Cricetulus griseus: one gene and its partners. The protein of the gene in region 4 purifies or fractionates together with the protein of the main gene of each other region. This does not show direct contact. Links are inferred from orthologs where the notes say so. Each region holds a gene or a part of one and is shown on either strand. Other genes may lie near its edges. The genes, in order: Inppl1, Anxa2, Garem2, Grb2, Arhgef5, Map4k3 and Pik3ap1.

Evidence for each region.
Region 1: the proteins of Grb2 (region 4) and Inppl1 purify together in Homo sapiens (affinity purification with mass spectrometry; 3 studies listed by BioGRID and IntAct, with this or other methods). This does not show direct contact. The link is inferred for Cricetulus griseus from reciprocal best matches to the Homo sapiens genes GRB2 and INPPL1.
Region 2: the proteins of Grb2 (region 4) and Anxa2 purify together in Homo sapiens (affinity purification with western blotting; 5 studies listed by BioGRID and IntAct, with this or other methods). This does not show direct contact. The link is inferred for Cricetulus griseus from reciprocal best matches to the Homo sapiens genes GRB2 and ANXA2.
Region 3: the proteins of Grb2 (region 4) and Garem2 purify together in Homo sapiens (co-immunoprecipitation; 4 studies listed by BioGRID and IntAct, counting the BioPlex papers as one, with this or other methods). This does not show direct contact. The link is inferred for Cricetulus griseus from reciprocal best matches to the Homo sapiens genes GRB2 and GAREM2.
Region 5: the proteins of Grb2 (region 4) and Arhgef5 purify together in Homo sapiens (affinity purification with mass spectrometry; 4 studies listed by BioGRID and IntAct, with this or other methods). This does not show direct contact. The link is inferred for Cricetulus griseus from reciprocal best matches to the Homo sapiens genes GRB2 and ARHGEF5.
Region 6: the proteins of Grb2 (region 4) and Map4k3 purify together in Homo sapiens (affinity purification with mass spectrometry; 4 studies listed by BioGRID and IntAct, with this or other methods). This does not show direct contact. The link is inferred for Cricetulus griseus from reciprocal best matches to the Homo sapiens genes GRB2 and MAP4K3.
Region 7: the proteins of Grb2 (region 4) and Pik3ap1 purify together in Homo sapiens (co-immunoprecipitation; 4 studies listed by BioGRID and IntAct, counting the BioPlex papers as one, with this or other methods). This does not show direct contact. The link is inferred for Cricetulus griseus from reciprocal best matches to the Homo sapiens genes GRB2 and PIK3AP1.

What each region holds. Positions count from the first base shown.
Region 1 is NC_048596.1:97,560,444-97,563,260, forward strand, and holds the end of Inppl1 (phosphatidylinositol 3,4,5-trisphosphate 5-phosphatase 2), read left to right. Parts: intron 1-324; coding exon 325-991; intron 992-1,222; coding exon 1,223-1,356; intron 1,357-1,464; coding exon 1,465-1,555; 3' UTR 1,556-2,317; downstream 2,318-2,817. UniProt on the Homo sapiens protein: Phosphatidylinositol (PtdIns) phosphatase that specifically hydrolyzes the 5-phosphate of phosphatidylinositol-3,4,5-trisphosphate (PtdIns(3,4,5)P3) to produce PtdIns(3,4)P2, thereby negatively regulating the PI3K (phosphoinositide 3-kinase) pathways.
Region 2 is NC_048597.1:181,009,017-181,012,949, forward strand, and holds the start of Anxa2 (annexin A2), read left to right. Parts: upstream 1-1,133; 5' UTR 1,134-1,241; intron 1,242-3,933. UniProt on the Homo sapiens protein: Calcium-regulated membrane-binding protein whose affinity for calcium is greatly enhanced by anionic phospholipids. It binds two calcium ions with high affinity. May be involved in heat-stress response.
Region 3 is NC_048600.1:14,173,114-14,177,353, forward strand, and holds the start of Garem2 (GRB2-associated and regulator of MAPK protein 2), read right to left. Parts: upstream 2,801-4,240; 5' UTR 2,774-2,800; coding exon 2,662-2,773; intron 1-2,661. UniProt on the Homo sapiens protein: Probable adapter protein that may provide a link between cell surface epidermal growth factor receptor and the MAPK/ERK signaling pathway.
Region 4 is NC_048600.1:128,301,516-128,305,635, forward strand, and holds the start of Grb2 (growth factor receptor-bound protein 2), read right to left. Parts: upstream 2,801-4,120; 5' UTR 2,642-2,800; intron 1-2,641. UniProt on the Homo sapiens protein: Non-enzymatic adapter protein that plays a pivotal role in precisely regulated signaling cascades from cell surface receptors to cellular responses, including signaling transduction and gene expression.
Region 5 is NW_023276806.1:226,147,841-226,151,340, forward strand, and holds part of Arhgef5 (rho guanine nucleotide exchange factor 5), read right to left. Parts: intron 2,606-3,500; 5' UTR 2,594-2,605; coding exon 1-2,593. UniProt on the Homo sapiens protein: Guanine nucleotide exchange factor which activates Rho GTPases. Strongly activates RHOA. Also strongly activates RHOB, weakly activates RHOC and RHOG and shows no effect on RHOD, RHOV, RHOQ or RAC1.
Region 6 is NC_048598.1:82,523,315-82,526,814, reverse strand, and holds part of Map4k3 (mitogen-activated protein kinase kinase kinase kinase 3), read left to right. Parts: intron 1-646; coding exon 647-736; intron 737-2,342; coding exon 2,343-2,411; intron 2,412-2,485; coding exon 2,486-2,578; intron 2,579-3,500. UniProt on the Homo sapiens protein: Serine/threonine kinase that plays a role in the response to environmental stress. Appears to act upstream of the JUN N-terminal pathway.
Region 7 is NC_048596.1:20,171,752-20,175,897, reverse strand, and holds the start of Pik3ap1 (phosphoinositide 3-kinase adapter protein 1), read right to left. Parts: upstream 2,801-4,146; coding exon 2,788-2,800; intron 1-2,787. UniProt on the Homo sapiens protein: Signaling adapter that contributes to B-cell development by linking B-cell receptor (BCR) signaling to the phosphoinositide 3-kinase (PI3K)-Akt signaling pathway.

The DNA of each region.
Region 1 (2,817 bases), on a different chromosome or scaffold from region 4:
CAGAAGGACTCTCAACAGCTTCTGGAGGCTTTTCTGATCACTTTGGTCACCCTTATGAGAGGCTTTTATCACCCATTTGAGCTCAGGTTTCAGTTATAAAAGAGCTGAGAATGTGAGCATATGAGGAAAAGGAGTTAGGGTTTTACCTTCAACACTCCCCCTCCAGTTTCAGAGGTTATGAAATCAAAGGCTCAGAGTGAGTCCACTTACCCAAGGTCATGTGCAATTCAAGGACTAGGACCTTGGTCCCTTCTTCCCCAGCTCCCTCCCCTGTACCCACCGCTTTTACTTTGGGTTCTGATGGTTTTCCTGCTCTCAAAATAGGCTGAAGTCAGAGGGGACAGCTGAGCTGGAAGGAGTGGCAGCCCCTGCACCCAAGAACAGCTTCAATAACCCTGCCTACTATGTCCTGGAAGGGGTTCCACATCAGCTGCTGCCCCTGGAGCCACCCCCATTTGCCAGGGCCCCTGTCCCACCTGCCACCAAGAACAAAGTGGCCATCACAGTGCCTGCTCCCCAGCTTGGGCGCCACCGGACTCCTCGTGCAGGAGAGGGAAGCTCATCGGATGAGGACTCTGGGGGCACACTGCCTCCTCCAGATTTCCCACCTCCACCACTGCCGGACTCAGCCATCTTCCTGCCCCCTAGCCTGGATCCTTTATCAATGCCAGTGGTCAGGGGCCGAAGCGGGGGTGAGGCCCGTGGTCCACCACCTCCCAAGGCCCATCCCAGGCCACCACTACCCCCAGGCACCTCACCTGCCAGTACTTTTTTGGGGGAGGTTGCAAGTGGGGATGACCGATCTTGCTCAGTACTGCAGATGGCCAAAACACTCAGCGAGGTAGATTACGCTCCTGGGCCTGGACGCTCGGCACTCCTCCCCAGCCCCTTGGAATTGCAGCCTCCCCGAGGGCCTTCCGACTATGGCCGACCCCTCAGCTTCCCACCACCCCGCATCAGAGAAAGCATCCAAGAAGACTTGGCAGAGGAGGTGTGTAGACCAGGGCCTGATGGCAGGTGTTCCTTCATTCTGTCACCCAGAACTCACTGGTGTCCACAGCCCCCTTTGCTTGTAGCTGGGTAATGGGCCTTTTGGAGACACAAGGATCAGCTTATTCCTTGCCTTATTTCCCCTCAGAGCATGGGTAGAATGTGGCTGTTTGCATGTGTTTCTGTGAGGAGCCACCCTTAGTTCTCCCCCTAACATGCCGTATTCCCTTAGGCTCCGTGCCCGCAGGGCGGGCGGGCCAGCGGGCTGGGAGAGGCGGGCATGGGTGCCTGGCTGCGGGCCATCGGCTTGGAACGCTATGAGGAGGGCCTGGTGCACAATGGCTGGGACGACCTGGAGTTTCTCAGGTGGGGGCGGGGTTGGAGGTGGACAGGGAGGGGTGTCTGGCCTCAAGGGTGGGATTGTGGGCCCTAGAACCTCTTAGCCCATCTCTCAGCTTCTCTTAATTCCTGCAGTGACATCACTGAGGAAGACCTGGAGGAAGCTGGGGTGCAGGATCCTGCTCACAAGCGCCTTCTTCTGGACACCCTGCAGCTTAGCAAGTGATAAGAGATGGCTGCCGAGCTACAAAAGCAATGCTCTTTCCCCTTTGGGAAGGGCATGTGCAACCATGGGCTGAAAAGTTCCGAGGGGCGTGGCAGTGCATTTTTGTCTATTTATTGGGGATCAGTGTTCCCTACTGCCTAGTTTGGGATGTTCTAATTAGGACAAAGAGCTCCCCACCTAGCTTTTAGGTCCAGGGTCGGGAGTTCAGTAGCCTGTGGTAAAATGAAGCACACTGGTTACTCTGGTGTGGACATCTCCCAGCCTCAGGGTTGTATGTGGGGTATAGTTGGGTACATCCTGGTCCCCACTAACACCAATGTTTCCACTTCCCTCCCTCGGACCTGAAACACACGAGTTCCTCCTTGCAACTCCTACTCTGGGGACGTCCTCCGGAAATGAAGGAAGAGCCCAGAACTGGGCTGGGTTTATTTAAGTTTTGCTGTGTGGGTTTTGGAGAGGGAGGGCACATTAATTTTATTGGGGTGGGGCAGGACCTCGGCCATAAAATGCAGATTTACCTAGTTCTGGCAGTACCTCTGGTTCATAGAGCCCTTGCCCAAGGAATGCGTGGCAGTCTGCTGTAGAGAAGGAGGGAGCCTCGCTGGTTGTCACCTGTCACCGCACTGGAAGACAGGGTTTTTGCCAACAGTTTATCCCATCTTGGGCACTCGGAAAGGTTGCTGGCTTGATGTCTTCAATAAATTAAGTTTTATTTGGATTGAGCAAAATCACCTTAATAAATTACAAGTTTTTTCAAAGAAAGTAAGGGGAAAGGAAAGCCACTTTGTTACGTTCCCGACAACCCTTCCCCTCTACTGTGTGGTGTGTGTCTGCCCTCTGCACCAGACTGGCTAGGGATGGGAAATTGGTAATGGGACCCCTCAGGTTGCTGATTTTAAGGGGTGGCTGGCCCAGTTGGCGGAAAAGCACGGATCTGTCAGTTCTGCTTCTTACGACCCTCTATGATTGGGCACTGTTAGAGACAGGTGTAATTTGATCCCCGGTTTCTAAGAAAGCCAAGCTAGAAAGGGCTTCTGGCCGCCCTGGAGGGGATCCTGGTGAGAATACTCCTCTCCGCTGGGTGCCGGTGGGTGAGGACAAGAGTGGCCCTGGCTTGTTTAACAATGTAAGGGATCCACATCTAGGGATCAGACACTGGGCAGTGGGGACAACGGGGCGCTTTTCGGCAGGCGGCCGGGATAGGGAGGGACTGTCGGGTCCAGTAGGATAGGGGTGTCTCTTGGGGCAGGCTGGGTGCCTCC
Region 2 (3,933 bases), on a different chromosome or scaffold from region 4:
GCTATCCTGCTATCCTCGGAATGAACTGAGAGAGGAGTACAAAGTATAAACAGATGTTGTAGTCAGTTGGGAGCAGGGCTGAGAAGATAGCTCAGCTGGTAAAGAGCTTGTGGCCAAAGCAAAGGAACCTGAGTTCCATCCTCAATTCAGGCAGGTAAAATGGTTACTAACCAGCCAGTCTAAACCTAATTTGTGAGCTCCAGGCACCTTGTCTCAAATAACTCCTGAGGAACAGCGTCCCTGAGGCTGACATCTGGTTGGCTTCCACATGTGAACTACAGGCTCACACAAATAGATGGGAGAGATGATAAAGAACCATTAGGACCAGGAGAAAAGAGAGAGAGGTGAAATGTGCAGCTTAAAGACCCAGTGTGAAAGGTGTTCTGGATTCTTCTGTTAGCCTGAGGTTTGATGCAGTATGGGCAGTCACACACAGACATAGTTCACTCCTGCATTGTCCGTGTGACTGCCCCTGAAAATCAGGCTAGGAAAAAATGAAAAAATAAAATAAAACCCAGAGAAGCAATTGGTCAAGGGAATGAGAAAAACAAAACCCTAATAATCTACAATTAGGAAAGACGGTAGGAGGTCTTGTAGAGTGCTCTGAAGTGCTGCTGTCTGGGGGAAGGAGGCACCTGGGTGGGGGGGGGGTGCCTTACCTCTGAGTCTCCCTGACTGCTTGGAGGCCTTCATGCAGTTTCCTAGGCCCATTAGGCTCTCTAGGTCGTTTCAAATAAACCGCCCACCCCATGCTCCTCCATCTGGTGACCAGAGGTTAAACTAATATGTTTGCAGACGGTCATGGAGAGCTGGGTGCCAACAGCCTAACTCAGGGGAATCCAAGTATGTGTGTCTTGAAACAATTCTACCCTCCATTACCTCGACATCTAGAAGCCTATAAACAAAAGAAGAAGTGGATTGGGCAAGCCAGTCTGCTGAAATCTTAACAGCCGAGGGCCAGGCTGACCACTGGGCCCAATACCCTAGGAGTAAGGGGGGTAGGGAGGTGGAGGCTTGATGGGCCTGGGAAGGTGGTGAGGCTGTCACGTAGGGCAGGGCCGGGACTGGGCGGCGTTCCAGAGAGGGTGAGTCACCCGGAGCAGGGTGGGCACAGGCCGGGGAGGGGAGGGGAGGCGTGGCGGCTTTACGCAGGGAGGATGGGGCGGGTATAAAAGCCCCACCCAGCCCAGCCGGGCCGCTCGGCTTCTGGGGAGGCTTTCAGCGCTAGGCGCCCGGCCCAGGTAAGTGGGGCGCGGCCCGGTCATCCGCTATGGCCTCGGGGTTTCGGTGTTGAACCGGGAGCGGGCAGGCTCCGACGACGGGGACCCTGGGAGGCACCAAGAAGGATCCATCCCCTTGGGCGATCTACGCGTCCTGCCACAGAGTTGCAAAGTGTCCCGTGTGGGGTCGTGACACGTCTCTTTGCATACCACGCCTGGGGGGGGTGCAGGGCAGAGGTGGAGGAGACTGTGCTTCCCCTTGAGGTCCCCTGAGAAGCAGGGAGACCCTGTGTGGGGCGGGGAACCGAGGGGCTCGGCATTCCAGAGGTGCTAGGTGCCAACGGGGGACTGGGTGTGGCCGCTGGGGAGCCTGCAGCCCAACAGTGAGACATCTGTGGACTTTTCCCCTCCGCCTTCCGAACTGCGTCGTCCTCTCACTCTGAACCATAACTCCTGCAATTTCAGGTGTATTTCTTTGCTACTGACAAACGTAAATTTGTGAAGTCGGCGCGGGGAACCGGGCGAGGGCGGGGGCGGCGGCACCAGAACTTCAAGTCTTGAGTTCTTGGTGCCCTCCTTTACACAAAACAATCTCAGCTCAGTCTTTGTCGCGAACTCTAGATTGTTTGGTAGGACAGCGACCTCAGACCCTATTCTTTCTGAGGAGTTTGCCGCCCTGGAACGTGTGCAGAAAGAAGTATCCCCGGGTGGTTCAGTAGAGAAAGTTGCCTTGACTGCACTGAAGCCACCATGAGTCAATTGACAGAGTCTATAGAAAAGGGCGTGGCTCCTGAGCCCCAGGTTCCAATGCTGGCATGGAGGGCTGTGGCTCCAGAAGTTTCTTTATCTATAAAAGTGGTTTCCGAACCCTTGTTCTTAGCTCCACCCACACTGAGTTATTGAAGATTTCCGAAAACAAGTTCATTCAAAAATAGATAAGTAAAGCACACTGAAAACACAGCGTTGTACAAATATAAAAGAAAACAAAAAGCTGTTACTTGAGACATAGCGGTAATCTCAAAACTCGGAAGACCGAGGCAGCAAGATCCTGAGTTTGAATCCAGCCTGAGCTACAAAGTGAGACACCATCCTCCCCCTGACCCCCGTCTCAAAAAACAAACAAACAAAACGGAGAGCTGATCTAGCTCATTGGTAGAGTACCCCACTAAGACACACAAGATCCAGGCTTTTATTCCCAGAACCAGAATAACCAGAAAGTTATTCATTTGTGTAGTAATTTGCCATATTCAGTCCCAGCCCTTAACAACAACCATAAACTCTTGGAATCCAAGGTCCTCAGCCTTTAACATACAGGGGTATTATCAGATGAGTCTGCAACTTGGACTGGGAAGCCACTTCCCGGCTCTCCCCCAGGAACACTATAGAAGGAGTTTGGAAACCCATGCTAGCACACTCCCCCACCCCAATTAATTAATTTGCACTGTATCTGAGTGCTGCCTAATGGCAAGGAGCAGGATACAAGATGGGAGGGCGAGGGGTGGTCCATGGGTAGGAATAATAAATCACTGATGCGGTTTTCAGGGTTTTCTCCGTTTAGTTTTAAATATAGATTTGATTAAATCGTGTTAATTGAAAACTTGTGTCTTTGCCCCCTTCTCTGGTTTCTTTTTCCTGCTTCCCTGCCACCTTCTTGCGGTCTGTGTCCCTTGATGTGTTACGTTGGCTTTGGACACTTGAGCGGCCCCTCCTCCACACCCACTTCCTCTTCATTTCAGTGTGTGCTGCGCCCAGCCAAAGCCTGTGGGTCTGAGTCAGGGAACCTGAAGATGGCAGATGAGATCAGGGCAGAGCCCCGTCCTCTTCCACTGAGTCCACTGCTCACCTTAGATCCCGGGGTTTCTTTAGAAGAGCCCGTCGCCTCTGCTGCAGCAGGGGCAACCTCCTAGGTGCGCACCTTTCTGTTGAGGGTTTCCTGTTTGGTGTGGTAGAGAGAGAAGTTCAGGAAGTTTTGCTAACTAGCCAGGCAGCACTTAAGGCTTTGACTGAGAGCTTGGGTTTGGACTGGTGCCTCTCAATGTTTCACATCCTGTGTCTTTGAGTTATTAAAATACCCTATTGATTGGCATTACACATGCAGTCTTGGCCACTGGCTTCCTGACTAAGTTCCGATTTAAGTAGTTTTCCTGGCAAGACAGGCACTCTCCTAAATTGCTATTGATTTTTGAGAACTCTCATCTCTCTCTGCACCTTTGGGCCTGCATTAATGTGTGTGAGGGTTGATGGGAACTTTGGCTCTAATTCTTGGCTTGTGCTGGGTGCCAGACCTGTTTCATCTGGGGAGAGTGGGTGTGTTACAAAAGGAGTCCCAGGCACTGTGGGCTGCTTTCAGCATCCATTTGTCTTACAAACTGTCTTTTACGTACCCACTGTGTCCCAATCACAGTTATGGTACTGAGGATACAGTAGTAGACTAGACACACATGCATGCATATTCGTTCACTGTGTGCTTGTACATACAAACACAGCCCTTGCCTTTCAGATTTTGAATCTTTTAGGGAAAGAAAAAAAAAGAAAAGATACGTGTGTTAATTGTAGAGATAGCAATTTGATTTGACATTTTGTATTTTCCTAAACTAATATTTACTCACAAAACCAGCTGGGTCTCCATTCCCAGCTTCTATACAGTTGTTTCACAGACCTAGACATGGAGCTGAGCTTATCCCAAAGAGGTGTCTAAATAAACTGGATTTAA
Region 3 (4,240 bases), about 110 Mb from region 4:
TCAAGCCCCTGCCCAGGAATTGCTCCCCGTGATCCCTGCACTGCTCAGCAACACTGGGGGGTGGGCAGTCAGCTGTCAGCTGTGGCCTCTGGGCTGTGTGAGTCCATCCTGAACCTCAGAGCTCTGACTCCCTGTGGGGCCTCCGCAACTATAGCATCCACAGCGTCTCATTCATCATCCCACTGCAGTGTCTGCTGTCCCAGCCCAAGCCGGGGCTGGGGACTCCCAGTGGATGAGTCTGGGCCAGCCAGCTCCTGCCCTCCAGGCATGTTCAGGCCTCAGGAGGTGGGGAGGAAGCAAGTTTGAAGCACTGAGCTGAGCGCTTGTAGGGATGTGGGGGAGGGGGACATCATCAGGCAGGGGTGGAGTAAGAGAGACTTTGTTCTTGAACCAGGCAAATTCACACCAGCAGGATCCCACCTAGTCAGGACCTAGGCTAGGCAAGGGAGGACCGAGGAGGAATCTGTTCCTGTGGGTCCTGTCTAGGAGAGCTCACAAAGTCACTGTCAGCTAGCTCAGAGTGGCAAGGCTTACAGGAGCCCACTCCTGGATCATTCAGAGAGACACTCTCTCTCCACCCACTGCCACTCAGTCTCATGGTCACAGGACCGGGGGAGTGAACCCTGGACACCCAAATCTCACCTTGAGAACCCATTCCTTAAAGTTGGGGTAAGACATGCAGGGGATTTAGGAAACGCAATAGGGGGAGGAGGGAGACTAGGCTTCAGAAAGCAGCACTAGGGCAGAGGTGCTGGAGTTGGGAGGGGTCTGGGCCCAAGAGGCTCCATCCCCAGCAACGGTTTCCAGGGGAGCAGGACTAGCAGCCCAGCTTCCAGGAGACTGATGGGGCGTATCCTGGATGCAGCTGGTGGGCACAGTGGGGGTGGGGATGTCTCCTTCCCAGCCCCCTACTCCCCACACACGGGAAACGGTTTACTCTAACAGTGCAGGGGTTCAAAAAGCATGCCCATATGGTGTGTATGAATGGGTGCCGTATCCGGGGCCTTCAAGGGAGGATCGTCCACTCTGTGTGTGAGTATGTGTGTGCCAGAGCATGCCAGGGGAGGTTTGTCTGAGACTTCCTCCTCAGCTCTCTAGCTCCTGGAAGAGATGAAGGTCTGCCCTCTCCAGCTCTACAAGCTCTTTCTTAGGCCTAACCTAATAGGTAGGCCCCACCCACTCTTCCATAGGGACACAGGCCAAAGCCACACAGGTATACAGGGGTCACCATCACCAACAGTTCAAATGCCTGTCACCTAAACAGCACAACTCAGTATCAAGGAACGATTCCTGAATGCACACCCACGAGGGGACCTCAAGGACACAACATTTCAAGTATACATTCATACTGTAACGGTGACCACAGTCATAACCACGCGGTCACAGGCACCATTGCTCATTCCTTCATTCATTCATTCATTCAATGAATGAATGTCCACTCCACGATCTTTGTCTGGCCCTCCCCCAAAAGCCAGGTGGTCGGTGGCAGAGGCACAGGTGTCAGCGCAGAGAAGGCCTAGCCTATACACAAGGGCTCAGAAAAGAACTCAAAGAAAGGGGTGTCAAAGAGATGCGTGGGAAGTGAGCAGGAAGAACCTAGGGCAGAATTTCCTATTCACAAGCAGACACAGCCCAGCTGCACACACAGTCTTGGGATCACACGCTGAGCGGTAAGTGAAGTCCGACAAGAGTTCGACTGCCAGGTATTCCTGCTAATGGACCCGGACACCGATGTCCCACAGAGCGTGTTCCAGCCTGCCTGGTGCCCACTGTACCCAGTTCTTGCTGTTGCCGGTCAGAGGAGAGGCTGCCAGTCCAAGAAGAAGACAGCACAGGAGTCCCATTAGCATTCAGGGAAGCGAGTGTGCCAACGCGGGCCAAACCTCTATTCTTCTCACACACAAAACCCCCCGGCCTGGCTGCCAGCCCCGGCTCCCGCCCCTCCCCCAGCCAAACAGCTCCCCTTTCCCCCAACACTACAGTCCTCTCGCTCGGTGCAACCCTCAGGCTCTCCCAAATAAGGTCCCGGTCCCATCATCGGAACACCGGGGGACTGCTGGAGAAATAGAACCAGAGGTGGGGGAGGGCCGAGGGTCCTGTGCTGGGGGGGAGAGGGGGGACGCCTAGTGGGCCGGCTCACTCAGGCCTCTCCTGAGGGTAGCCCGCCCTTAACCAGAGGACCTTAGGATGCCAAAGGACGGTTCAAGAAATGTCCCCAAAAAGGGAGTAGCGGGTGATGGTAGGGGAAAGAGTTCCAAGGGACGCAGGAGGACGAAGGTGAGAGGCTGAAGACAAAGGGATCAAGGGGGTGCGGCCGGCCGGGGCAGTGGTGGACAAGCGCCAGGAAAGCGGGGTGCACCGACGGAGCGGCCCAGAGGCTCAGCTACGCTCTTGGCTCCAGAGGGGACTGAAAACTTTGTCCCAGCCGTGCGGCCAGTTTCTATCACTGTGCTCAGATGGGGCTCAGAAAGCGGTCCCCGGGCTCGGGGGCTCCGGTTGTCTCAGGAGCCGCCCCAGAAGGCAGGCGAGGCTCGGATCGCCGGGGACTGGGAGGGCAGGGGCCCAAGTGCACACTGCGGTCCCGCCAGCCCCAGGCGAGCGGGGCCCCGACTGTCGGCGCTCTTGCACGCCACCCCTGTCCCCTCCCGGGACACCCGGTACCTGGCCCGAGGCAGGCGAGCGTGGGCAGGCGGCAGCGGCTGACGATGAGGTCGAGCGGGAAAGCGCCCATGCTCCAGCGCAGTCCGGCCAGCCCGGCTGCCAGCTTCTCCATGGCATCGGAGCTCTCCGGGGGCCGCCGTCTCGGGGCCCCGACGGCCAGTCCCGCGCGGCTCGGGCTCCGCGCCCGCCGCCACCACCCGGGGCCTTAGCAGAGCTCCCCTCCTAGCAGCCCGGCCGGGCTGCGGGAGTCACGTGGCCGGCCTCCTCCCACGGGGCGCCGGCCCCCGCCCCCATCCCCGCCCCGCGCCCCGCCCGCCGGGCCCGCGACCCCCGGAGTGCCCAGGTGACCGCCGGCGACCCCACGCTCGGGATGGGGAGAAGAACCAGGTCCATGGGGTCCTGGCCCGGTGTCCTAGGTGTCCCCTTGTGCCACTGCTTCGTGGAGTCCGTATCCATCTCTGCTGCGTTACCCACATCGGCTACTCCAAGCTGGAGGCTAGCGAGCGGCGGGGATGCTTAGACTAGGGGGAGCAGAAAGGAAGGTGACACTTGGGATCTAAGTTGTCTCCGAATCCTTGTAAGAGCACTTTCCAAATCCATCCCCATCCCAGCCCACACTACAGATGGGAAACAGGCTCAGGCACCTGAACGACTGGGCCAGTGGCTGAACTCGTTTTTTCATCTTCTCTTTCTTTCCCCGTCAACGTTCATCCCTTCCTGCTGCAGCTCAGGAGTTCCCTTAGGAAGACAAGCCTTCCCAGAAGCTGTGCTGGCCATGACCTCGCACCCAGCCTGAGGCTCTCTTCACCTCAGTGTGCCTGCGGCGCCCTCTGCAGGTGCAGGCGGGTCGTAGCTGAGTGCCCTCCAAGAAGTGGACCTTGGCCCCTAAGCTGGTCCTTAAAAGGCTCCATGCATGGACTCTGTGCCCTCAAGAAACTTCCACGTGTGTATACACAAACCCTTACATCTGATGCATTTGACATTTGGCCTTGAGCCCCAAAGGAAATGGCAGCAGATGACACTTTATTTGTTTTTGTTTTGTTTCTTTGAGACAAGGGAGTGTGTGTGTGTGTGTGTGTGTGTGTGTGTGTGTGTGTGTGTGTGTGTGTGTGGTCTAAGTTAGCTCACTTTCCTGCCTTAACCTCCCTCAATGCAATGGGCATCACAGCCTTGAGCCGCAGTGTCAAGTGCAGACACCAGCCCCCAGCTTTTTCCTTTTATTTTTTTATACCCAGGACCTGGCACATGCCAAACAAGTGCTCTAGCACTGAGATACATCCCCAGCCTGTCTTTCACTTTTGGTCTTCAGATAAGGCTCAGTAAGTTGCTTGGACTGGCCTTGAACTTCCTGTCTAGCACAGCCAGCCCTTGAACTTTCAAACCTTTTGCCTCAAGCATCTGGGATCATAAACTTGTGAAATCACACTGCAAAGGAACAAAGCCCATCAATCACTTCCTGTGCCCAGCTGACTGGTGCCATTACCCACCTGGACCTAGTCACCACTTGTAGCCACCAGGGAGTCTTCTGCAGGATCAGTCCTTTGAAAGCACTCTTTAGCCCCGGGAATGCATTGAGATT
Region 4 (4,120 bases):
CTGGTGAATCCGGTCAGTTTCAGGGCCTTCCTGCAGCCATTTTGAATTATTTGCTTCATACTAAAATGTTTCAATCTCAGAGGAAACATTTACACTACACTACACTGCTGGAGTTCCACCACAGCCTAATTAAAAAAGTAAAGAATACCCCTACCAAGTATGGTAGCATAAACCTAAAATTCTAGCCCTGGGGGAAGGCTGAAGCCGGATGATACAAAGTTTGAAGCAGGGCTATGCCTATTTGCATACTGGTGCCCACCTTTGATCCCAGCACTTGAGAAGCAAAGGCAGGAGGATCTCTGTGAGTTTGAGGTAAGCCTGGTCTACATAGAAAGTGCCAGGACAGCCAGGGCTACACAGAGAGTCCTTGCCTTAAAGTAAGTAAATGAGTAAATAAATAAAAGGTTTGAGTCCAGTGTAGACTATATATAAATCAAGAACGTGTCTCAAAAAAGTAATTGGATAAAAAAAATTTCTAGTTAACTTATTGCCAGGTAATGTTTATGCATACAAATTTTAAGAATCACAGCTAAAACCTGAGTGGAATCTTAAGCAAATTTTAAAATTTGCATTCCAGAAAATGTACTATGCCTGAACAAAATAAAAATGATACATATTCAACTTGGCACAACTCTGGGGAAAACCAACTTTGGCAAACACTATAAGAGCAAATCTCAATAATCACTGGTAAAGCTCCTCAGTATGTCCTAACTTCTGTGGGGGGAGCATGGTGGCTCTGTTCTGTGGTCACCTCTCCTAAGTCCAACACTCCATAATGCTACATAACAAGCGCTGCTACACACTTGACATAATGGAAATCACTGAAGAACCCCTCAGTACCACCAATAAATAGCACTTAAAACCTAACAACTGACCTGGAAAGATGGGCTAAAGAGATAACAGCTCAAGCTGCTAAGAGCACAGGCTGTTCTTCCAGAGGACCAGGGTTCAATTCCCAGTACCCACATGGCAGCTCACAACTCTCTGTAACTCCAGTTCCAGGGTATTTATCCTCTTTTAGCCTCTGAGGGCACCAGGCATGCACATGGGGCACCTACATACATGCAGGCAAAATACACTCACCCACACAAAAATAAAATAAATCATTTTTAAAAGCCTGGTAAGGACTAAATTAGTAGTTAGAATGGGTAGGCTTTAATTCACAAATTTCTAAAGCTCTGTCCCCTTATTTTTTCAAGCTATCTTAATTCATAAAATCCACAGCTGACTTTCGTTTGACAATTAGCTCTTAGCCATACTAAAAACTCAAAAAGGAGTCTTTTAGCCCCCAAATTTCTCAATCTTCCTTAACAGTGAAAAGACACAGGAAAGAGAAAGAAAATACTAGGTGTAAGGCCATGATCTGTGAAGAAAACACTAAAATACAAATGATGCAAGAAAATCGGCAAAACCCCCTTGTGATCTGGTGGCTCTATGGACTACTTTGGAATGAATTAAGTCCTTTGAGTCTCCCAGTTCCCAGGAGAGAACTTAGTCCCCGTCCCGCCACCCCCCCCCCCATGAGGAGCTAGCAGCCCTTCTGGCTGAGGAATACAGTGGTCGTTTAAAAGTAAAGGAATGAAAACAGGAGGAAAGGTATCTTCCCGAAAAAAAGAAAAAGGCATCTTGGGACGACGGGGAAAATTAACAGTGCCCAAAAGGGCAGAAACTTCGAAAATTATAGCGGAGGAACAGCAAGAAGGGGAAGTAGATTATTTTTAAAGGGAGGGTGGAGGGGCCAATGACTAGCGCTACAAATGGAGTGGAAAGGAGACTGAGAAGGCAAAAACCGGAGAGCAAAGTGAAGAGGGGTGCGGAAGTCAAAATAAAGCCCATTTCTCTAGCCTCTTATGAGTGTCAATAGAACCAGAAGATGGACCTTGAGCGCGCTTGGGCTCCTCTGCAAACGGCACTGCTATTGCATTTGAAGGCAGCTTGAAAAAAAAAGAGAAAAAAAAAAAAAAAAACCACTTTCCAAACAAACTCTGGCTCGCAGGAGCGCTGCAAACGGGCATGAACCAGCGGGGCTCTCTCGCTGGAATCCTTGCTCCCGCATTCCCATCATCTGCTGCCGCTGCTGCTTCCCCCTCCCGACAAGGATTTTCCTAGTAGTTCTCAAACAGACGCGCCCAACGCTGTGACAAAGAGCGGTGGCCGGGTGCGGGCAGCGATGGTCCTCTCTCGCGGCGGGCTCCCGCACACTGTGCGGCCGCGAGGTGCCCAGAGGTGGTGACGTGGTTGCTCCGCGCGCGGGTCAAAGGCGCATCCATCACCGCGCTAGCCCGGCACCGGCACCGACTCCCCGCCCGCCGGGCTCCGGCAGCCTGGCCCCGGCAGCACCGCGCCTGCCGGCTGCTGCGGGCTCCGGGCTGCCCCACGCCGAGGCGATCGGCCGCCGCACGAGCGGGAGGAAGACCGGCACCAGGAAGGAAGCGCCCCAAAAGGGGAAACGAGGAGCCGGCGGCGCGGCCACCGCGCTCGGGTCCGAGCCATCCCCGGCCCGCCAGCGGCCCTCGCGGGCAGCCCCGAGCAGATCGGCGCCCGGGCAGCCCGCCCGCCGCGGCGCCGGGACGACGGAGCTCCCGCTCTCCGCCCGCCTGCCCGCCCGCCGCCCGCCGCCCGCCGCCCGCCTCGCACTCACCGTGGCGCAGCCGTCCGCTCCGTGGCCCAGCCCGGCCCGCCCTGCGCTGCCGCTGCCGCCCGCCAAACCCCGCTGCTGCCTCCCCGATGGCGGGCTCCGCGCTGCCCGGCCGCCGTCCCGCGTCAGCCTCGCTCGCTCGCTCGCTCGCTGGCTCGACCGCCGCCCGCCGCCGCCGCCGCCCGATCGCTGAAGCAGCAGCAGCAGCAGCCTGGCTTCCGCTCCTAGGCAGGGTCCCGCGAGAACTTCCCCACGCGGCCCCGCCCCGCCGCGCCCCGCCCCCGCGAGACTTCCCCCGGCGGAAAGGCCCAGAGCGCAGGCGCTCCTCCGGCAGGTAGCCCAGCGGGCGCCTGCGCGCATGCGCCAGCCCACCCCGCAGCAGGTGGCACGGGCTTGGCTCCGCCCCCGGGTCGCTGTAACCCTCTGTGTGCCGGAGCCGGTGACTTAGAGCTCTGCCCTGGAGGAAGAGAGAGCACTTCCCACACTCGGATCACGTCCCTTTCCCGTTCCGCCAAAGCAAGGCGGAGAGGGAGAAGGGAAGGGAGACCTCAGGATGGCTCGATCCAATAGAGGACCAGGCCTAGATTGTCTGGGAGTCTGGTTCGCTCGATGAATTGTTTGGTTCCTCTGTTCGTTGACACAGACCTAGTGTAGGCGAGCCCTGTGCTGGGTGAAGAAGGTAAAACGACGAGCAGAGATCCTGGCTTTCAAGCGATTCAGTCGAGAGTGCCAGCAGAAAAGTAAACAAGTCATGTCTTGGGCTGGAGAGACAGCTCAGAGCTTAAAAGTACTTGCTGCTCCTCCAAAGGACCTGCACCCACATCAGATGGCTAACGCTATCTGCCGGCTAACTCCAGCTCTACGGTATTCAGTGCCTCTGGCCTCTGCTGACACCAGCATTCATCTGCACACACACACACACACACCTATAACATTTATACATAATTAAAAATAATTCAAATAGCCCGGCGTGGCGGCCTATGCCTTTAATCCCAACACTCAGGAGGCAGAGACAGGCGAACCTTAGTGAGTTAGAGGCCAGACTGGTCTACAAAGTGAGTTCCAAGACAGCCAGACCTGTTACACAGAAAAGCCCTGTCTTGAAAAAACCAATAACAAAATAATAACAATAATATTATGGCCGGGCAGTGGTAGCTCACGCCTTTAATCCCAGCACTCAGGACGCAAAGGCAGGCCAGCCTGGTCTACAAAGCTACACAGAGAAACCCTGTTATGAAAAACCAAAATAATAATAAAATAATAATAATAATTTTCTAAGCATTTAAATAATGACTTAGTACTGTTACAGCAGTTTGGGGAAATGCTTCAGAAGCCAAAAAGATGGAGAAAGGCTCACTCTGTTCCTCTGCCCACTATATAAAAGACTTCACAAAGTAGGTGATGTGATTATTGGAGGCTGAGTAGGAGTTCCACAGGAGAGGAGCCAGGGTAAGAGCATAGCCGGCAAAAGGAAAGGCAGGC
Region 5 (3,500 bases), on a different chromosome or scaffold from region 4:
AGGTCCGTCCAGCACAGAGAGTGGAGACTGGCCAGTCTTGGCCAGTGGGTCTTGGTTTGGCTTGATCCCCTGAATGTATAACTCCCCCCTGGATACTCCTGCTCCTCCCCTTGGATTTCGGGGGTAATGGCGGTGGTTCAGAGGGAGGGACTGGAGGTAGAGGCCTGTATATCCTTGGTATACTAGAGGGGGAGATGGGAGAATTGTGCTCAGGCTCATAGGGAGTTGGGGGTAATGGTTTGTTGTATCTCGGCCTTGAGATGGAAGCCTGAGTGTGGTGGGGACTTTCTGGGGTGGATGGCAGAGGGCGGTGCTGTCTTGCCACAACAGACTCAGGAACTAGGGGAAATGGGCCTCTAGGAGATCCATGTACCCCCGAACTCAGGGCCAATGGAGGAGGATGACTATGTCGCTTCAGTGTGGGGGCTCCTGCATGAAGATGGCCATCTCTCTCTACTGAGGAGCTATAGCTATGTCTCTTTTCTGGGGGAGGAGGGGGCAAAGCTTCAGGTGTCCTCGTATCCATGGAGACAGTGGGTGGAGAAGAAACATTCACCGGAGAACCTACAGCAAAGGCTGAGTGCTGTGGGGAGCCCCACAGCTGACCAGCGCAAGAATCGCTCGGCCTGTCTGGATTTGAAGGGAATTCTTCAGAGTCCTGTCTCACACCAAGGAAAGCAGCAGAGGATTCTGAAAAGACGATGCCGTCCCTACTTCTTCTGTTTCTCCTCGGGATCAAAGAGCCATAGATGGCGGGTTTGGGGGGCCTCTGCGGTAACTCCAAATGAGTGAAAGAAAAAGACATTCCCACAGAGTCTGGAGTCTGTTCTGTCCTGTGAAAGCCTGGGAACGAGTTACTTCTTAGATGTTGGGTGGCTCCAGTATAGCTGGTGAGAGGGTTGTGAGGGTTGCCCTTGTCAAAGGTACCACATGGGTCCTTGGTAGTTTTTGCAGGTACTGGAGGAGTCTCAAATGGCCCACAATGAGGCGGTGTGTCAGTTGAGAGAGAGGCTGCTAGGGTGTCCTTCCCAGGAAGGACAACTGGAGAGCTAACAGGTGACAAGGTGGCAGTGATCGGTAAGACTTCAGCAGGACTGGAAGGAGCTGAATTGGGTGTCCTTGGAGGAGTCATAGCTATATTAGAAGAGACAACATCAGTCCCCTGGATGGACACTGTCTCCTTCCTCACCCCGGCTTCTTGCCGGCTGTTGTGAGTCCTATCATCCAAGGGTTCTTCAGTAGCAAAAGAGTCAGGTGGAGAAATGGGTTGGAGAGACCACTCTATTGGCTCTGGTGCAGGAGTCAGAACTTGGGGGATCAGTTCCTGGGGAACGGGCTCCCTCTGAACCCCAGGAATATCAGCCACAGGGCAAGAGACGCCTGGAAACAATGTACCTGACGACAGAACCTCAGGAGCTACGAGAACCACCGGAGGACAATGCTTGTCCTGTTCTGTTCTCCCTTCCTCTGCTGCCTGCCCACCCTCACCTGAGGCTACGACCTCCTCCTGGTCCTCTGCTGGCACTGCTTTTCCTGTGCCACCATGATTTTCCTGCTTTCCACTCACACCCTCTGATTTCTCCACTAACCTTTGATTCTCTGCAGACTGAGCAGCCCTCCGCCTGCCTTCCACCGCCCTGCATCCCCTGTCCTGTCCCTCCTCTTCTGGATCCCTCCCGCGCCTGTCCTCTTGACCCCACTCCCTGGAATCCAGACCCTCCAACTCCCCACTGAGCTCACTGCTCTCCCTTTGTCCTCCAAGCATTACATGGTTTTGGACCTGTTCCTCTTTCTGTTCTTCCTCACTGCCATTAACCCCCTCTTCCTCCTCTTCCTGCTCCCCAGGAAGCCCATCAGTGCAAATGTTTTCCCTCAGAGTTCCTTCCTCCTCAACTTCCACTTCCTGTCCTTCCTGCTCCTCCAGTCCCTGGGCCTCCTGGGGTTGGAGGAGTCCTTGCCCTTGCTTTTCTTGTGTGTCTTCCAGCTGCAGCTGTTTCCCCTGCTTGAGCTGGTCACTCCCATGGCCCTCAGTCTCACCAGGGTGCTTTGTGCAGGGAGGCCAAAATCCTCTAGGGAGAGAGGGGCCTGGAGACCTTTCTTCTTCTTTTGCTTTGCTAATTGCCAATGCCAAAGACATGAGTTCTGGCTGCAATTCTATCTCCACTCTGCTGTCCACGTTGCTGGAAATGTCTAGCCATTCTTCCTGAACAGCACAGGCCAGGAGCTCAGGGACAGCTATTGTTCTTGACAGTCTGTCTTTAAGGTTCTGGGATACTGGTTCCCGCTGATCTACAGTGTCACAGGCCTCGGCCACAAGGATTTCCTGGTTGGCCTCCACATCTGAAGAAACTTCCTTTAAGAAAAACCCCATGCTATCAGGTGTGTGGTCACTCATGTCCCTTAACTCTTTCGGATGGTTCATCAAGGGTCTGTGTCCATCTGCCCACTTGTAGGATGGGTCTTGGCCTTCTTGAGCTTCGGGCTCCAAGGCAGGGATCTGACTGCTCCTCATGATAGCTTCAGGGATCGCCTGAACTTCTTCTACAGCAGAAATGGGTGCAGATGCTCCATGGTCAGGCTCTCCAGCCTCCATCAGGGCTGAATCCTAAAGAAGAATACAAAACAAAGTTTCCAGTGCCTCATCTGTGTTTGTGTACAGGGGAGAGATCACAAAGAAGACGAATGGGAAACTTCTTCAGTTCAATTCAGGATCACTCTTCAGGACAATGAAATGGGCACCAGCCCTTGTATGTGTTGCTTAACTTTATTTTTAAATTAAACCAAGCTACAATTCCTGTTTTTCATTTTTACATTTATTTTTATGTATACATAATCTGTATGTACACGCAGTGCCCACAGAGTGCAGAAGAGGGCAACTGATCACATGGAACTAGGGTTATAGGTGCTTGTGAGCCTTTAATATGGGTGCTAGGAACTGAACCCTGGTCTTCTGAAAGAGCAGCAAGTGTTCTTAACTGTTAACTCATCTCTATAGTTCCCAAGAGACTTAGAGGGGCTGGGGAGATGGTTCAGTTGCTAAGTGTAATAAAAATTTATCTAGAGAGAATGAGAAGGTGGCTCAGTTGGCACACACACACAAGGACCCAACACACACAAAAAAATACCAGGAGTAGTAATATGTGACTGTAATATGAAAGTGCAGGGGTGGCCAGGGACAGTCTAGTCAATCCATGAGTGCCAGTTCAGTGAGCACTTGTCTCAAAATACAAGGCGGAGAGCCTTCATGGAAGATGTCTGGCCTCTACAACAGAACACCACACACAGACACACACACACACAACACACACACACACACACACACACACACACACACACACACACGTTACCTAGTGACCCTTAAGTGTAGGACAATCAGCCGTGACCAAGACAAAGCTCCTGGTGGATCTTGAAGTCTCGTGGGAAAAACTGATTACAAACGATTCAATTAGCATTGAAGACCTTTGTCAAAGAGTTCCAGGAACTGCCAGTGGTCATTGCCC
Region 6 (3,500 bases), on a different chromosome or scaffold from region 4:
CTATTCCCAGCAAATATACACATGGCAGCTCATGTCTGTCCAGGGGTTCTTCTGGCCTCCTTAGGAACCAGGCAGGGAAGTGGTACACAGAGAGACATGCAGGCAAAACACCCAGAACACATAAGAAAGTAATTTTCTTTAATTCATGTGTATATAAATCTCAATGCCTAGGAAGGGAATCTCCATTACCTGGAGTACAGATGTCTCCTATAATTGGTATTACCGTACTCAGTATCTTTAGTGAAACATTAAATGATGTAAAGCTCAGATACATATGTAAGTTAATAAATATTTCTGAAGTGTTTGTGAGGATGTTTGAAAATAATTCCTATATAATTTATTTTTTCAAATATTAAACTTATATTGCCAGATTGCTGAACTGGCACTTCCTTTATGGTAATTTACCCTAGTTACCTTAGCAAATATTAGGTCTGAGTAGTCCTTTTATAGAAATTTGATTATAGTTTGAAATACATGTTGTACTATAGCAAAATAAAAGACATGCAACATTAGTTTTGTGGTAAATAAACCAGATTGAACTCTCAGACTTAAAAAACATAACCTTTAAATGTCTTATCTTTAATTTTTAAACAACCTATTGATGGAGAAAGCCCCTTTTACTTTTTTCTCTTTAAAAATACTGTAGAGCCAAGTGTGGTGGTACACACCTGTAATCCCAGCACTTCGGAGGTGGAGGCAGGAAGATCAGGAGTTCGAGACCAATCTCAGCTACATAGTGAGTTCAAGGCCACCCTCGATTACATAAGACCCTTTCCCCAAAACGACAGCAACACCACACACACACACACACACACACACACACACACACACACACACACACATACACACACCCTGAGGAACTTTTATACTGAAGTTGGGAATAAAAGGTGTCAAATGCATTCAGAACATGAAGCCCAAGGTGTTCAATAGCACACTGAACTCGAAACAGATGTCTTTACAGAGACTTGTGGAAGGAAGATGTATATAATATAGCCCTTTGCAATATTTTAAGGTTTGTCTTTGGTTCTCCCAAAGTCTGTTACATGCTCCATTATTCACTGTCTCTACTGTGAGACAGCTGGGACACACCTGCTTTTTAATTTCGTCTTTATTTAACAGGAAAAGATTGCTGGATGAGAAATATTTTGCTGCCAGTCAGTTTCAATAATGTCATAGTTCTTTGAAGTGTTTTAATTTTAAATATACCCTAATTGCTTAATAAAAGACATCATTTCTTAACAAAAGACTTTAAAATAGCTCCCTTCCAAGAAACTTAACATGGTTTTATCTGAAGGATTTCCATAAATACAGAAAATATCTCTCAGAGTTTATGAGGTAAAGATAGAGGGGATGATTGTGTTTTTAACTTCTATTGCCTGTCTGTCACACACTAGTTTCTCAGGAAATCTTGAGAGTATTGTTTGGGCATCAGTGTCTCCTAAAGATAATCTGAGGCCTGGGAGATGGTTTGGTGGGTGCAGTGCTTTCGTGCAAGCAAGAAGAACTGAGTTTGGATCCCTGGTACCATGTGTTGTGTATCTGAAACTTAGTGCTAGGGATCAGAGTCAGGAGGACCCCAGGAGCTTGTTGGCCGTCCAGTTTAGCTGAAACAGCAAGTTCCAGGTTCAATGAGAGGCCCTGTCTAAAAAAAAGAATAGAATTGTAGAAAGCACCCAGTGTTGATCTCTAGCCTACATACAGAGCACAGGCAAGCACAAAACACACGCAACGGTCTACACACCCCACAGACACGTTCAGAGCTCTTGACAAAAGCTTAGTTTAGCTCATTTATACTTAAAAAGTAATTTTGTTAACTCTCCAATTCTTTTATTTAATACACACTGGTCACATGAGCTAGGCAATTGCATCTGATGATGTTCAAAGCCCATGGCAGATCTTCTGAGTTTAAAATCAGAAATTGAATCCCAGCACTCGGGAGGCAGAGGCAGGCAGATCTCTGTGAGTTTGAGGCCCGCCTGGTCTCCAGAGCAAGTGCCAGGATAGGCTCCAAAGCTAGATAGAGAAACCCTGTCTTGAAAAACAAAAAACAAAAAGCAAATCAGAAATTGTCCAGAACCATAATTTACAAGATGAGACTCTTTGCTTCAAATGTAAATATAAATGGCACCCTTATCGGTTGAACTGACAGGAGCCAGCTCTGCTGTGCCCATTGTCCACATCACCATCAGAACACAGGTGTCCCAGTGCAACCATTGTGCATGACCTGTAAGCGATGTCCATCCATTTAAAATGCAGCAGTCCACAACTCTTTTTTTGTTTAAGACAAACATTGTAAATTTTGTAGTTTTCTGTAGCCTTATCTGACTGTATTTGTGTTGTAGATACCCCACAGACAAACGTCACTCATGTAACCCAGCTGGAGAGAGACACCATCCTCGTGTGCTTGGATTGTAAGTTTCCATTTGCATCTTCTCGGGTAACATTCCTCTGTTCATACTATTGAGTGACTTCTATTTTTCTCTAGGTTGTATAAAAATAGTGAATCTCCAAGGAAGATTGAAATCTAGCAGGAAATTATCATCAGAACTCACCTTTGATTTCCAGATAGAATCCATAGGTGAGTCGTTGTTTTGTATTTCTTTGCATTGTGAACTGTTTAAAATGATCTGTCTAATAGTTAGTGACGTTGCAAATATATATTGTTAGGGCCTTTTTCATTTGGATATGATAGTATGAGGTCACTATTAGTCTCCCCTCTTCTACATTCTCTAAGTGTGTGTACTAGTCATATACGCTGTAAATGTTCCCTTCGTCACAGATGTGGCATTCACAAAAGAAAGTTAAACAGTATTTCTTAAAACATGTTTATGAGTTTACATCTCCTCCAGAATCCTATGGATTCCCTATAAGTGCTTTAAAATTTGGCATTTGGTATGTCCTGTTGTGAATATACCATTGTTGCCTGGTACTCAGAGTTCCTTCAGCTGAGAGCAGTGATGCATCCATGTATTCACAGAACTCAAGAGGCTGAAATAGGAAGATTTAGAGGTCATGGCCAGCCAGGACTATGTAGGAAGTTCCAGTCTAGCCCCAGCAACCCAGCAAGACCCTGTCTCAAAAAAAGAAACAAAACAAAACAAAATTTACTTCTTGCCTTATTTATGTCTGTGTCCTCTGTCCCACTATTTCTGCTTTTAATGCTGTGCCTCAGAAAATATTGCGCAGGTTTTCAGAAACATACACAAGAATTACTGTTGTGCCGTCATCTATAATAAGGAAAAGTAGAAATAATTGCTCATCAAAACAAATGGATGACAGTGGAGACGTCAACATAAAGTTACCATGACAATGTGGAACTAGTTAATATAAACATGTCTGAGAATGATAAATACAAAGTTGATTACAGTGCTGTCCAAGAGAGGAGGGCCAGCCAGATGAAATTTGGGTTGGCTTTAGGGGATCTAGGCGTGTTTGTCTTTGTTTGAAGCAAAGGCAAACATGGTAGAATATTTAGATTTGATAATTGGGAAGAAATGCAT
Region 7 (4,146 bases), on a different chromosome or scaffold from region 4:
TCCTATGTGTCTGTGCACACTGTGTGCATTCGTGAAACCACGGCATATATGTGGAGGCCCAGAAACAATTTGCAGGATTCGGTTCTCCCTCTCCCCAGGGACTCCCATGTGGGTCCCAGGGGACCAACCCAAGTCATCAGGCTTGGTGACAAGCACCCTTACTAGCTGAGCCATGGTGCTGGCCCTGTGATCCTATAAATCCAGGAATAATAGGAAGATCTATAGATGAACCTGGAAAGAGGGGGCAGGACAAGGTCTGAGAGCTTTCCTCGGGCTCTTGGGGGACCAAGGCCTGGAAGTGGGGACTCCAGTTCTCACCAGCTGCACACTTGGTGCCCTCGGGGAAATCCTAGTCTCTTTTCTCGATCTCTCTGGTAAATAAGGGAAATGATTCCAGCACAAGCTGGTGGCATTTCACCTCATTACTCAAGGTTCCTTCAAGGCCAAAGAGCCAAGATTCTCCACGATGTCAAGCAAAGGAGCATACGCATCTTTCAGGAAACAAGACTGACATTCACCCTCCAGTGGCAGGGAATTTGAGAAGACCAAAAGATTAGGCTACAACTGAGCAGCTGAGTGGACTTTAAGCACATTATGCAGTGTGAAGGAAGTCAGTCACTAAAACCACAGACTGCACGATCCCATTCATGAGCAAGTCCAGGACAGGGCAATCATAGGCTGAGGCAGATCAGTGCACTAGAAAGGAAGCAACAAAAGGAAGACCTCTCTTTGAGGTGGTGACATTCCTCTCAAAGTCACGTATTTGTGAAGACACTAAAAACCACTGGGTGCATTCCTTCAGGCATGCCCAATCAGTAGCCCATAAGCTGAATGTGTCCCAGGATAGCTATGAATGTGACTCAACTCTTTTGGAGATGATGTCATGTCACAAAGTCAAAAGGTTAGACACATAGCATTTTGTATAAACATATTATAACATTATTTTAAAAATAAGGACACCATACAGGAGGGGGCCTGGATGACTCTCCAGCCTATGGCAAACTAGTGAAGAGCTTGGCTTTCCCCCAACTTGACCTGCTCTCAGGAGTATTTATAGCAATAGACCTCAGAGACCCCAGAGGGACCCTGTCTCGCTCACACAACCTGGCATGGTGTCTCACCACAGAGAACACTGACAGCAAGAGGTTTGGATAGCTTTATTCACCACTCCACCTAGCATGCCAGGTTTGGTTGCTGGGCTAATTCTCATCTGAACCTGAGTCCACCCACCTAGCTTAGCCTCTGCAGCTACACCCCTTGGAGCCAGCCTTCTAGACAAACAGGTTGCTTGGCCTCCTTTGCTCAAAGGCTTCCCACTTTGCTGTTCACCTGTTCCAGCCAGGAAAGGAGACAGAAGAATGGCCAGTTTATTTTCTCCTCTGGCCAACCCCTCCATCCACCCAGCCATGATAGCTGTTCCCTGTATCTTGAGAACAAGGCTCTTCCCTGGAGCCCTCTCCTGCCCAGGGCCCTCTACCTCCCCTCCTTTGGGTCTTGACTAATTTCCCTTGTTCTGAGACTTCTTCACCTAGCCATTCTGTTTAAAATTCTAACTCAGACCCCTCACTCCTGTCCATTTTCCCATCACACATACCCATGCCAAGTACTTTCTTCATTAAATCAGTTGTTGCCTTCCCTGTCCTCGAACCACCCTCCCACTGCCTTCAATAATGAGCCTGTACCATCAGAGCCCTTTGTACCCTTGTTCCTAAGTACCATGGCCTCAGGCTAGACCTTAGCAGATCTAGAGAAGGTTGGTTCTTCAATCTAGCATCTGCTCCCTTCCTTTCCAAGGGCTGACTTTCCCCCAGCCCACTACAGTTCTTTCTTCCTGTTTTCATGTATTGTCTCTAAAAACATCAGATGTGGGCTGGGTAAACACAAGTAAACCAAACCGAAAACATGGCAACTCTCTCTTCTCACCTAGCAATTCTCCATTTACTGTTTTCTTTCACACCACCAAAACCCGGTGGTGAACAGAGACCAGGCCTGCCTTGTCATCACCAAGACCAAAACACATCTTTTGTCCACTAAGGTGTACAGACAGGGCTCATCAATTGTCTTTCATCATTATCATTATGTGGCTTGTCCTAGACCTCAGCGAGCTGAGGACTTGCCAAGTGTACACGCCCATGATCCAGAAAGAAACCCAAAGCCAGCCAGAAGAAACGCTGTCACCTTCTGATGGATAGATTTGTCCACCAATTTCCAATTCTCCTTGGACCTGAACTTCCACAGAGAACACAGTGAGAGTAACACTAACGAAGCAGCAGTCTCGGGTGTCAGCAAAATTCCAGAAAAAAAGAAAGATACAAACGCGGTGGAGGAAAGGGACTTCCGAAGCTGACCCAGGACCACTTCTGATCTCCCAGGAACACCTAGGACTTCCTGAGCGCCCCCTATTGGTCGGAGAAGACCCTAAGAGAAAAGCACCTCCTTTCACCTGTCTCAATACTCAGAAGTTACAGAGGAGAAAGAGATCTTAGGACTACTTGGGCAGAACTAGAGAGAGAGAAGTAGACTTCGAAACTGGGATGGGGTAAGCCTCAGGAAGGAGCTGGAGAGAATCGCTCACAGGCCGGCCAGGCGAAACGAGAGAAAGTTGGGAGGGGAAGTTTGCGACAGAGACCTGAGAAAAGACCGCAAAGAATACAAGATTCCAGCACTAACGACTAAAAAAAGTGAGAAAAAAAGTCCCTCAGGCTGTGAGGGTGGCGCCAGAGAAACTCGGGGACCAGCGGCGGGGGCGCGAGCCGGGAGCCCAGGAGCTCCGCGCCTGCTACCCACCTGAGGCTGCCATGCCGTCGCGGGAGCAGCTCGCATCCCCGGCCAGCCTGGAGCACGGTACCCGGTGCCCGCAGCCGCAGTGGGCGATGTCGCTGGCACGGGACCGGAGTGGAACCCAGCTGCGCTCAGGACAGCGGCGACTCTGGCGCTTCCTCCCGCGGGGCAGCGGGGACTCACACGGGGGCGTGTCCACAGGGTCCGCCCCGCCTGCCTGCGGGGCTCCGCTGGGCACCTGCACGCGCGGCGGTTGGGGAAGGGAAGTGAGAAGCCCACAGGGCCAGCCACCAGCTCCCGGCGCTGACCCCTGCTCGTGCCACGTGTGTCCCGTGCTTCAGGAAAGCAGGCAGCCACCTCGGTGGCCGCAAGGAGCAGCCTGAGATGCGGGAACTCGGGGGAGGGAGAGCAGAGAGGACAGGGCTGTCTGGTCTGGGGGACTTGAGGTGGGGATGCGTAGCACAGCTGTCCCAACCACCTTGTCCCTTGGGGCTTGTCCTTCAGACGCTGCCCCCCCCCCCGCCAAGTAAAAGGAAGGCCTGCGGAAGGGGAAGGAGGAGCACCTGGCTCTTGGGGTCTCGGCGTTGCCCTTGGGTGCCCTCCTGTGACCCTTCTGCATTTTCTTGGATCTGGGCCTCTGAGGGCACATGGGTGTTAACTATAATCTGTGATAGATGGATGTTATCACCGACAAGGGCCTTCCACACACTACTGCTCCACTTCCATTATCAGAGCTCTTTCCCTGGCTTTCTTCTATCTCCCTCCGCTTTAAAAAGAAAAAAAAGTTTTTATTTATTTGTTTCGTGTGCTGTGTGGGAGTGAGTATGCATGCACATGCTGCAGATCACATGGAGAGATCAGAAGACAACTTGCAGGCGTCTGTTCTCTCCTTCCATCGTGGAAACAAACTTTGGCTCAACGCCAGGCAGCAAGCACCTTTACCCTGCGCCATCTCACCAGGCCCCTCCCTCTTCCACTTTCAAGGACCCCAAGTGAATGTACTGAGCTGCCTGGATCCTTCAGGAAAAGCTGTCTAACAGCTCCTTGGTGGCAGCCTCAATATCACCTACAACTTAAGTTCTTTGTCCTATAATGTAGCAAATTAACAAATCTAGAGATTGGGGTCTGGGCATCTTTGGACACAGTTTCTCTGCCTAACACAGGCACACACAAGGATTCCTAAAGCCAAAGTGAGCATGCTGCCTGCCATTCTCCCTGTTTAGGGTATCTTTGCCCTCCACCCCTCTTCTGATGTACAGCGATGCCGTTCCACACTATTAGAGTTCTTTGAAATTATAGAAGCATTTCTGTATTGTCAGAATGGCTTTAATTGATGCTTCCTGTATCCACCTCTAAGTCCTTTGG